Linked DNA regions of Oryctolagus cuniculus. The protein of the gene in region 2 purifies or fractionates together with the protein of the main gene of each other region. This does not show direct contact. Links are inferred from orthologs where the notes say so. Each region holds a gene or a part of one and is shown on either strand. Other genes may lie near its edges.

Evidence for each region.
Region 1: the proteins of WDR59 (region 2) and SESN2 purify together in Homo sapiens (affinity purification with western blotting; 4 studies listed by BioGRID and IntAct, with this or other methods). This does not show direct contact. The link is inferred for Oryctolagus cuniculus from reciprocal best matches to the Homo sapiens genes WDR59 and SESN2.

Annotation. Positions count from the first base shown.
Region 1 is NC_091438.1:143,427,203-143,430,950, forward strand, and holds the start of SESN2 (sestrin-2), read right to left. Parts: upstream 2,571-3,748; 5' UTR 2,439-2,570; coding exon 2,178-2,438; intron 1-2,177. UniProt on the Homo sapiens protein: Functions as an intracellular leucine sensor that negatively regulates the mTORC1 signaling pathway through the GATOR complex. In absence of leucine, binds the GATOR subcomplex GATOR2 and prevents mTORC1 signaling.
Region 2 is NC_091449.1:57,464,148-57,467,895, forward strand, and holds the start of WDR59 (GATOR2 complex protein WDR59), read right to left. Parts: upstream 2,409-3,748; 5' UTR 2,300-2,408; coding exon 2,246-2,299; intron 1-2,245. UniProt on the Homo sapiens protein: As a component of the GATOR2 complex, functions as an activator of the amino acid-sensing branch of the mTORC1 signaling pathway. The GATOR2 complex indirectly activates mTORC1 through the inhibition of the GATOR1 subcomplex.

The DNA.
Region 1 (3,748 bases), on a different chromosome or scaffold from region 2:
TTCACTTCCCACAGAGCCTCTTCCTCCATGTTTTTTCTTGACCCATTGGGTTTCAAGTTAAAAAAAAAATATTTATTTGAAAAGCAGTGTGACAGAGAGGAAGAAGGGGGTGGGGGAGGGGTCTTCCATCTGCTGTTGCCAGTGCTGGACCAGGCTGAAGCCAGGAGCCCAGGAGTCTCCCACGTGGATGCAGGGGCCCAAGGACTGGAGTCATCCCCCGCTGCTTTCTCAGGCACATTAGCAGGGAGCAGGACTGGAAGCTGAGTAGCTGGGACTCGAACTAGCACTCCAATATTTGATGCTGGCGGCCTAACCTGCTGCGCCACAGCACAGGCTCCTGTGTTTCAGTTGGAATGTCATTGTTTATTCTGGGCATGGGATCCTGGAGGGGGCAAGGATGGAGGGGATCTTGTCTAATCTGGGTTTAGATTCCAAGGATGAGCCTCTGTCTCGTTCTGCCTCCAGCTTTCTCAGACAAGGAAGCTAATCTAACCTACTGCTGAGCTCCCAAAGCACGTGGGCTGGGGTCTCTGTTTTAACACTTATCACATGTACTTTGTATTACAAATTGTGTTTATAGTGTCTTATCTGCTTATAAGCTTCTTTTATAAAAGATGTATTTATTTATTTATTTATTTGAAAGGCAGAGCTAGAGAGAGAGGGAGGGAGAGAGAAGGAGAGAGAGAGAGGGATCGAGAGATCTTCAATTCGCTGGTTCACTCCCTGAATGGCTGCAAAGGCCAGGACTGAGCCAGACCAAAACCAGGAGCCAGGAGCTTCCTCTGGGTCTCCCACATGCATTCAGGGGCCCAAGACTCAGGCCATCTTCTGCTCCTTTCCCAGGCACATTAGCAGGGAGCTGAATTGGAAGTGGAGCAGCTGGGTGCCCATATGGGACTATGGCTTAACCCTCTGCACTACAATGCTGGCCCAGTTATATGCTTCTTGAGGGCACCTTTGTCTCTTGTCCTATGTCACCTATCACAATGTTCTGCTAATAATATGCCCTAGAATCTTCAATTAAATTCCCCTGTTAGCTACCCTGTCAAATTCATTCTAAAAAGTTTACTCTATAATATCAATGTCCAGACTACAAAGTTCGATGTTCAAAATCTGCCAAGATGTGATTCAATTTATTTTGTCAGTTTCATCATGTGCCACACCCATGTTTCTTGTTTGGCCTTGAAACTTTTTTTTCAGTACTCCTTGTTGTAAATCCCTGACCACTGAAATTGTATCCAGCATTCAATGCCTTCACTGTTTTTTTTTTAATGATTTTTATTATTTGAAAGGGAAAGTGACACAGAGAGAGAGAAAAAAGAGAGAGAGAATTTTCCTGATCACATTACTCATCTCCCACATGGGTGACAGGGGCCCCACTACTTGGGCCATCTTCTGCTACTTTCCCAGGAATGTAAGCAGCGGGATGGGTTGAAAGTGGGGCAGCTGGGACTCTAACTGGCTCTCCGATATGGTATGCTGGCATTGCAAGAAGCAGCATAACCCACTGTGCCACAATGCCAGCCCTGATATTTTTGAATAAATATGTTATTCTCCTCTGCAGAGTAACCTTTTAGAATATTCCAGGACGTGATTAGATCATTCCCAACACTTCATTTACAAAGTGAGTGATTTGTGAGAAGGAAAAGCCAAAGAGGCTGATATACTAAACTGGGCAGTCTTTTGTCATGGAATCTGCAAGGAAGGAAAGACAGGAAGCGGCACAGTCACTACCATTAACTGGGCTACAGCAGGAGTGGCGCAGCTGCTGTCTCATGTAGCTCTCACACAACCCTGTGAAGCAGGTATTAGGGCACCATTTAACAGACAAGAAAACAGGCTTAGGAGGTGTGTTGGCCAAGGCCAGACGGCTTAGCATTCTGAGCCAGGACTCAAACCCAGGCATTTATGAATCCAAAGTAGAAACTCCAGCACACCCAAATGAGAGGACGACGTGAATCTGCAAGGAGCAGGCAGGCACAGGAACTGGTGCTTAGAGCAGGTGTATTAATTGGCAGTGAGGAACATAACTGTCAAGTGGCCTCTAATAGATGGGTCAGCACATCCCTCCTTGTAGGGGAGCATGTGTGAAAAGCCAAGTTATCCCCTGGAAATGGCCACAGCAGCTGGAGTCCTGGCAAAAGGAACCATGAACCAAGATGAATCACTGAACTCACTCGACTCAGAGCAAATCTGCCGGTCAGAGCTCCATTGCTTTCCTTCCTTTCATTCAGTAAATATTTATTGACCGTGGTGTGTGTACCAGACACTGTGCTGGGCTCTGGGAATCCAGCCATGAAGCTGCCAGCCCAGTGGGATGCCGAGAGGGTGGGGTGTGGCCCCAGCCTGGGCACATTCCTCCCCTCCCCCCTGCCTTGTGATTTTTGGTTCAGTGAAGATCTCTTCCTCCTGTTGCCATACTCTCTCGACTCTTGCATCAGCTATGTTGAGGCCACTGATTGGCCAAAGCTATTTTTATTCCTCAATTGCATTCCAGTCCTGAAGATAAGTCTAGATTGGATTTGAAATGTTTTTCAGGTTTCTTCCGGCTTCAGCTTCTCTTTCAGATTATGACTCTCACAGGATTCTCATCTGTTCTGGGTTTATTCTTCCTAAATTCATTTTCTAATCCCAAATTCCGGGGTGCCCTTGCTATGATAACCTTATATCGCCACCATTCCAGAGCTATGATTTATCAGCCCAAATGTCATTTTCTGAGTTCTTATTGTCTTCCTCCCTCAGCTCTCTGAATCTCAGAACACAACCCCTGCCCCAGGAGGTTTTCAAGGAAAGAAATCCCCCTCCCACAGGCTTGATAAAGTCAGAACAGATCCACTCTCCACCGGCCTATTCACACATTCATTCCATTACTCATGAAGCCCGCATGGTGCTCGGTGCTGGGGGAGGCCCTCCCTGCTCCAGCAGACTTGTTCTGAGCCGTCCCGCTACCCAAGCAGAACTGAAATTGTTCCCCCAGAGATGTGTACTGGGGGCAGCCATACACTCTTGGAGTCAGCTATCTATCTCCCAAGACCACATTCCAGGAGTCAGGCAACCGGGGTGCTAGCTTTTAGCTCTGCGATCCCAGCTGATTTTTGTCTCAGCTCTCAGAATCCGTTTCCTCATCCCTAAAACAAAAGAATTGACCTGAGCTGCTCTAACTTCCAGAGCCCCTGTCGAGGGAACTGGTGCTGCGCGGTGCATATGCTTCGCTTTGCTGGGTTGCGTCCAGGACAGAAACCCTCAGGTTTGGAAAAGCTCGCTCCTCTTATTAAAATAGGAAAACTAACCCGCTGGGTGCTTTGGGGCTATTTGCTTAGCGTTCCCGTTGAGTTTCGTCGGCTGCGTGAGCCCTCAGCGCCCCCTGCAGGTCGGGCCCTGCCACGGCTCAGCCAGAACTGGCTGGGGAAAAAGGGTGGCCCCAAGACCGCCCCCCAAACCGTTCCGCGTTTATAGATCTTTGGGTCCCGTGACATCGCCCAAAGGTCTGGCGAAAAGGCCAGGACCGTGTGGTTGCTGAAGACTTTCCTGCTGCCAGCAAGGGCCAGTCTCTCAAAGGGCTTCGCGGCCTGAACGGACATTGTTCCGGCTCTTAGCCTGGGAGCGGGGAGCCTCGGGTCCGGAGAGATTTTGCCCAGAAAGCTGACCACACAGTGGAGGCTAGAAACTTGAGATCGGCGACTGGATTTCACCTTAAGACTGCCTCACGGAGCCCCACTTTCCTGCCCTCCCTTCCCCCACCCCAACT
Region 2 (3,748 bases):
CAGCCATTGTAGCCATCTGCGGAGTGAAACAGCAGATGGAAGACCTCTCTCTCTCTCTCTCTAATTCTGCCTTCCAAAGCAGGCAGGCAAGCAAGCAACTTCGGAGTCTGCAGTTCCCATCTTCACCACCAGTCCCGGCCGCAGCACTTCTGTACACGCTGCCGAGTCAGACTCACAACTGCACAAGCTGCCATCTCACTGATCCTCAAGGGTACACGTGCAAGTGAGCACTGCAGAGTTGCTGTCAAGTACCACATGTCCTTCACCACTAACTGGTGACAGTAATACCACATGGCATTGTTTTATAAAGCAAATAACACTTGTATAAACCAAAACAGTTTCACCTACAGACAGCAGGTTTACTCTGAAAAATCTAAAAGCTTTAATTTTTTAAAATCATTTTGACAAGATGTGGGATGCTTTGAAAAGTTTATTGTTTTGGCCTTTTCAGACAGGTACTGTGAAGAAGTTTCACTTTTTCTTTCCACATTAATTTTAAAAAGTTAATAGACTGGTTCCTGCCCCTCCCATTGATCACTAGAGTGAACCACAAAACCATGCTAATTCACACCAAGACACATCCTTCCACTAATCAGGAAAGCAGAAAGAAAAATAGAAACTCCCACAGGCAGCTCAATTACCCAATTCACTTTGTTCTCCTACTATGACAACTGCTGTTCAGGTTTAATTATTTGCTGCTACTTCATAGCATCCTAATATAAGTGTCAGCACTTGCTCTGCAGGTCTCTTCAATTACGTTTCTATTTCAAAAAAAAAAAAAAAAAAAAAAAAAAGGAGTGAGACTACCTGGGTTTCTGTGAGAATTAAAGGGTTTGCAGTTTAGTAGCTTCCAAATTAGCAGGCTCAGAGACAAACACACAATCCTGTTCTGTCCTAGCTCCCAGTGGAAGCAATTAATGAGAAAGGTGACAGGGATACGGTTTTTCCCTAGGAGTCTAGCACCTCCCCTGGGTGACTGGGCCTCTGAGACACCATGCTGACAGTGCCAGCGGCTTTAGGATCCCTGCATCCAAACGCTGCTGCTCAAAGCCTCGATAGGTGCTACTTATCCAAGGGCACACAGAGCAAACTAGTGGGAGGCTCCTCCACTCATTCATCTTTATGGCAAAGCAATCCAGATTTCCCTCCAGAAAAATCACTGGAGTATGGACACAAGGCCCGGCACAATGTTAGTATCTCAGTAACTCCTTGTTGAATAAATGAGTGAGTAGAAGTCTGGCACACGGAGACAGCTGAATAAACAGGCTCTCCAAGACACTGGCACAGGAGTGGGGAAGGGGGAACATGCTGTCTACTGTCAAACAACTGCACGACCCCGCGCAGATACCCACTACTAGGCAAAGTACTGTTCTGAGCTGACACACGCTCTGGGGGCAGTGCCTTCCACCAATGGCCCCATCGCGGGAGGCCTTGGCCAAGTCACTGGGGATGAAATGGGCATCAGCTTCCCCCTTTACACCTACCTTCCTTGCATGGTTCTTCCAGGAACCACAAAAAGAAACCACACATAAGCAGCTCAGCACAAGGCCCAACATACAGAAGTCACGACACAGAAAAGTGGTAAAATTCCTCAGTGAGGGCTCACGTTTTTCGAAGCGTAACATGTGCCCACCACTGTGTGTGTGTGAGAGACAGACAGACAGACACACACACACACGGATGACCGCCCCAAATCCTCACGCCAATCCCGTGAGACAGGATTACTCCTTCCACTGGTGAGGAAACTGGCACGCAGAGAGCGATGACAGCCTATTACCTGCGCCAGGATTCGAACCCAGGCAATACGTACAGGGTCCACTATCACAGCATCAGCAACCACTTAACCGCTTAGGCGTCGAAGCAGCCGCTTTGCGAGCAGCATTTCATGGAATCCACCTCACCCCACCCCCAAAACCAAGGGTCAGGTCCACGCAGAAGTTCCACGACTTGCTCGACGCCCCCTCGCTCACCACCTTGGGCATGAGGCACCTCCCTCAGCCCCCCAAGGCGAACCCTATTCCCTGTACCCCCTACAAGGAACCTCGACACCCCGTCCATGCCCACCCCAACTGTCATCAAGCGCCTCCCGCCCGCCCGAGCCTGACAGCTCCAGGTAACCGGGTAGTCCAACTCCTCAGCCAGAGCCGGGGGTCTCCCGGCAACCCCTAGGACCAGAGAGGCCGCGTGGGGGAGGGGAACCACTGAGGGCGCATGCCCAGACTGCTCCGTTCGGACCCCAGCTCACCTGGGAGTCGCGGAACTCCACCACGACGTTCTCGCTGCTCCATCGTGCCGCCATCCCCCTCGCACGACCTCAGGACAGGGCCCTCGCACCCCTCAGACTCGCGTCCCCAGGCTCCGTGAGCCCCACGCAGCCTGTGAGTCAGCCCTGCCACGCCCCGTCCCCCTCCCATTTTCGCCTGACCGCCAATTATTGGCTGACCCAAGCGACAGCCCCGCCCCATCTCTCCATCTCCTCCAATTGGCGCACCGCACCCACCCAAAACAGGCACGCCTCCTCTCACTTCCGTCATCAGCTTGAGCCACCCTCGCGCTCCGCGGGTGCGGACACGCCCCCCGCCGCGAGCTCTGCGGGGAGTTGTAGTTTGAGGTGGAGCCGCGCCGCGCGTCAGTGACTCCGGAAGAGCGCGCAGGTTAGCGTTTGCTTGAGGCACTTGTTGGTGTCCCCGGCATTTCGCCCAGACCCAGCCTACCAGGCAAAGCCCAACATTCATGCGAATCGAAGGAACCTCTTCTTCCCCTTTAGTCTGAATGCTGGACTTACTGTTTCTTACAATACAGTAGCGCCTCCCAAATGTCCGGGGATTCCTTGAGGGTCTCTGAAGACGAAGCAGTTTTCATAATCACATTAAAAAATCATTTTCGGGGCCGGGGCTGTGGCGCAGCGTGTTAAAGCCCCAGCCTGCAGCGCCGGCATCCCATGTGGGCGCCAGTTCCAGTCCCGGCTGCCCCTCTGCTATGCTCTGCTATGACCTGGGAAAGCTGCAGCAGATGGCCCAAGTGCTTGGGCCCCTGCACCTGCGTGGGAGACCTGGCGGAAGCTCCTGGCCCCTGGCTCCTGGCTCAGCTCTGGCCCTTACAGCCATTTGGGGAGTGAACCAGCAGATGGAAGATTTCTCTCTCTCTCTTTCTTTAACTCTGTCTTTCAAATACATAAAATAAATCTTTTTAAAAAATGATTTTCGGCCGGCGCCGCGGCTCAATAGGCTAATCCTCCACCTTGCAGCGCCAGAACACCGGGTTCTAGTCCCGGTCCGGGCGCCGGATTCTGTCCCGGTTGCCCTTCTTCCAGGCCAGCTCTCTGCTGTGGCCAGGGAGTGCAGTGGAGGATGGCCCAGGTGCTTGGGCCCTGCACCCCATGGGAGACCAGGAAAAGCACCTGGCTCCTGGCTTCGGATCAGAGCGGTGCAGTGGCCGCGGCGGCCATTGGAGGGTGAACCAACGGCAAAAAGGAAGACCTTTTTCTCTGTCTCTCTCTCTCTCACTGTCCACTCTGCCTGTCAAAAATTAAAAAATAAAAATAAAATAAAATAAATTAATTAATTAATTTTAAAAAATGATTTTCACTTTCTTTCCCCAGTGTAGCAGTGGAGTTTTCCAGAGGCTACGTGATAAATATTGCAGCGAATTGAACGTAGAAGTGGATGGGAGAAACCGACTGTTTTCTAGTAAGCCAAATGTTGACAAGATTTACAACTCCTCTCGCTAACATTTTTTGGTTTTGGAA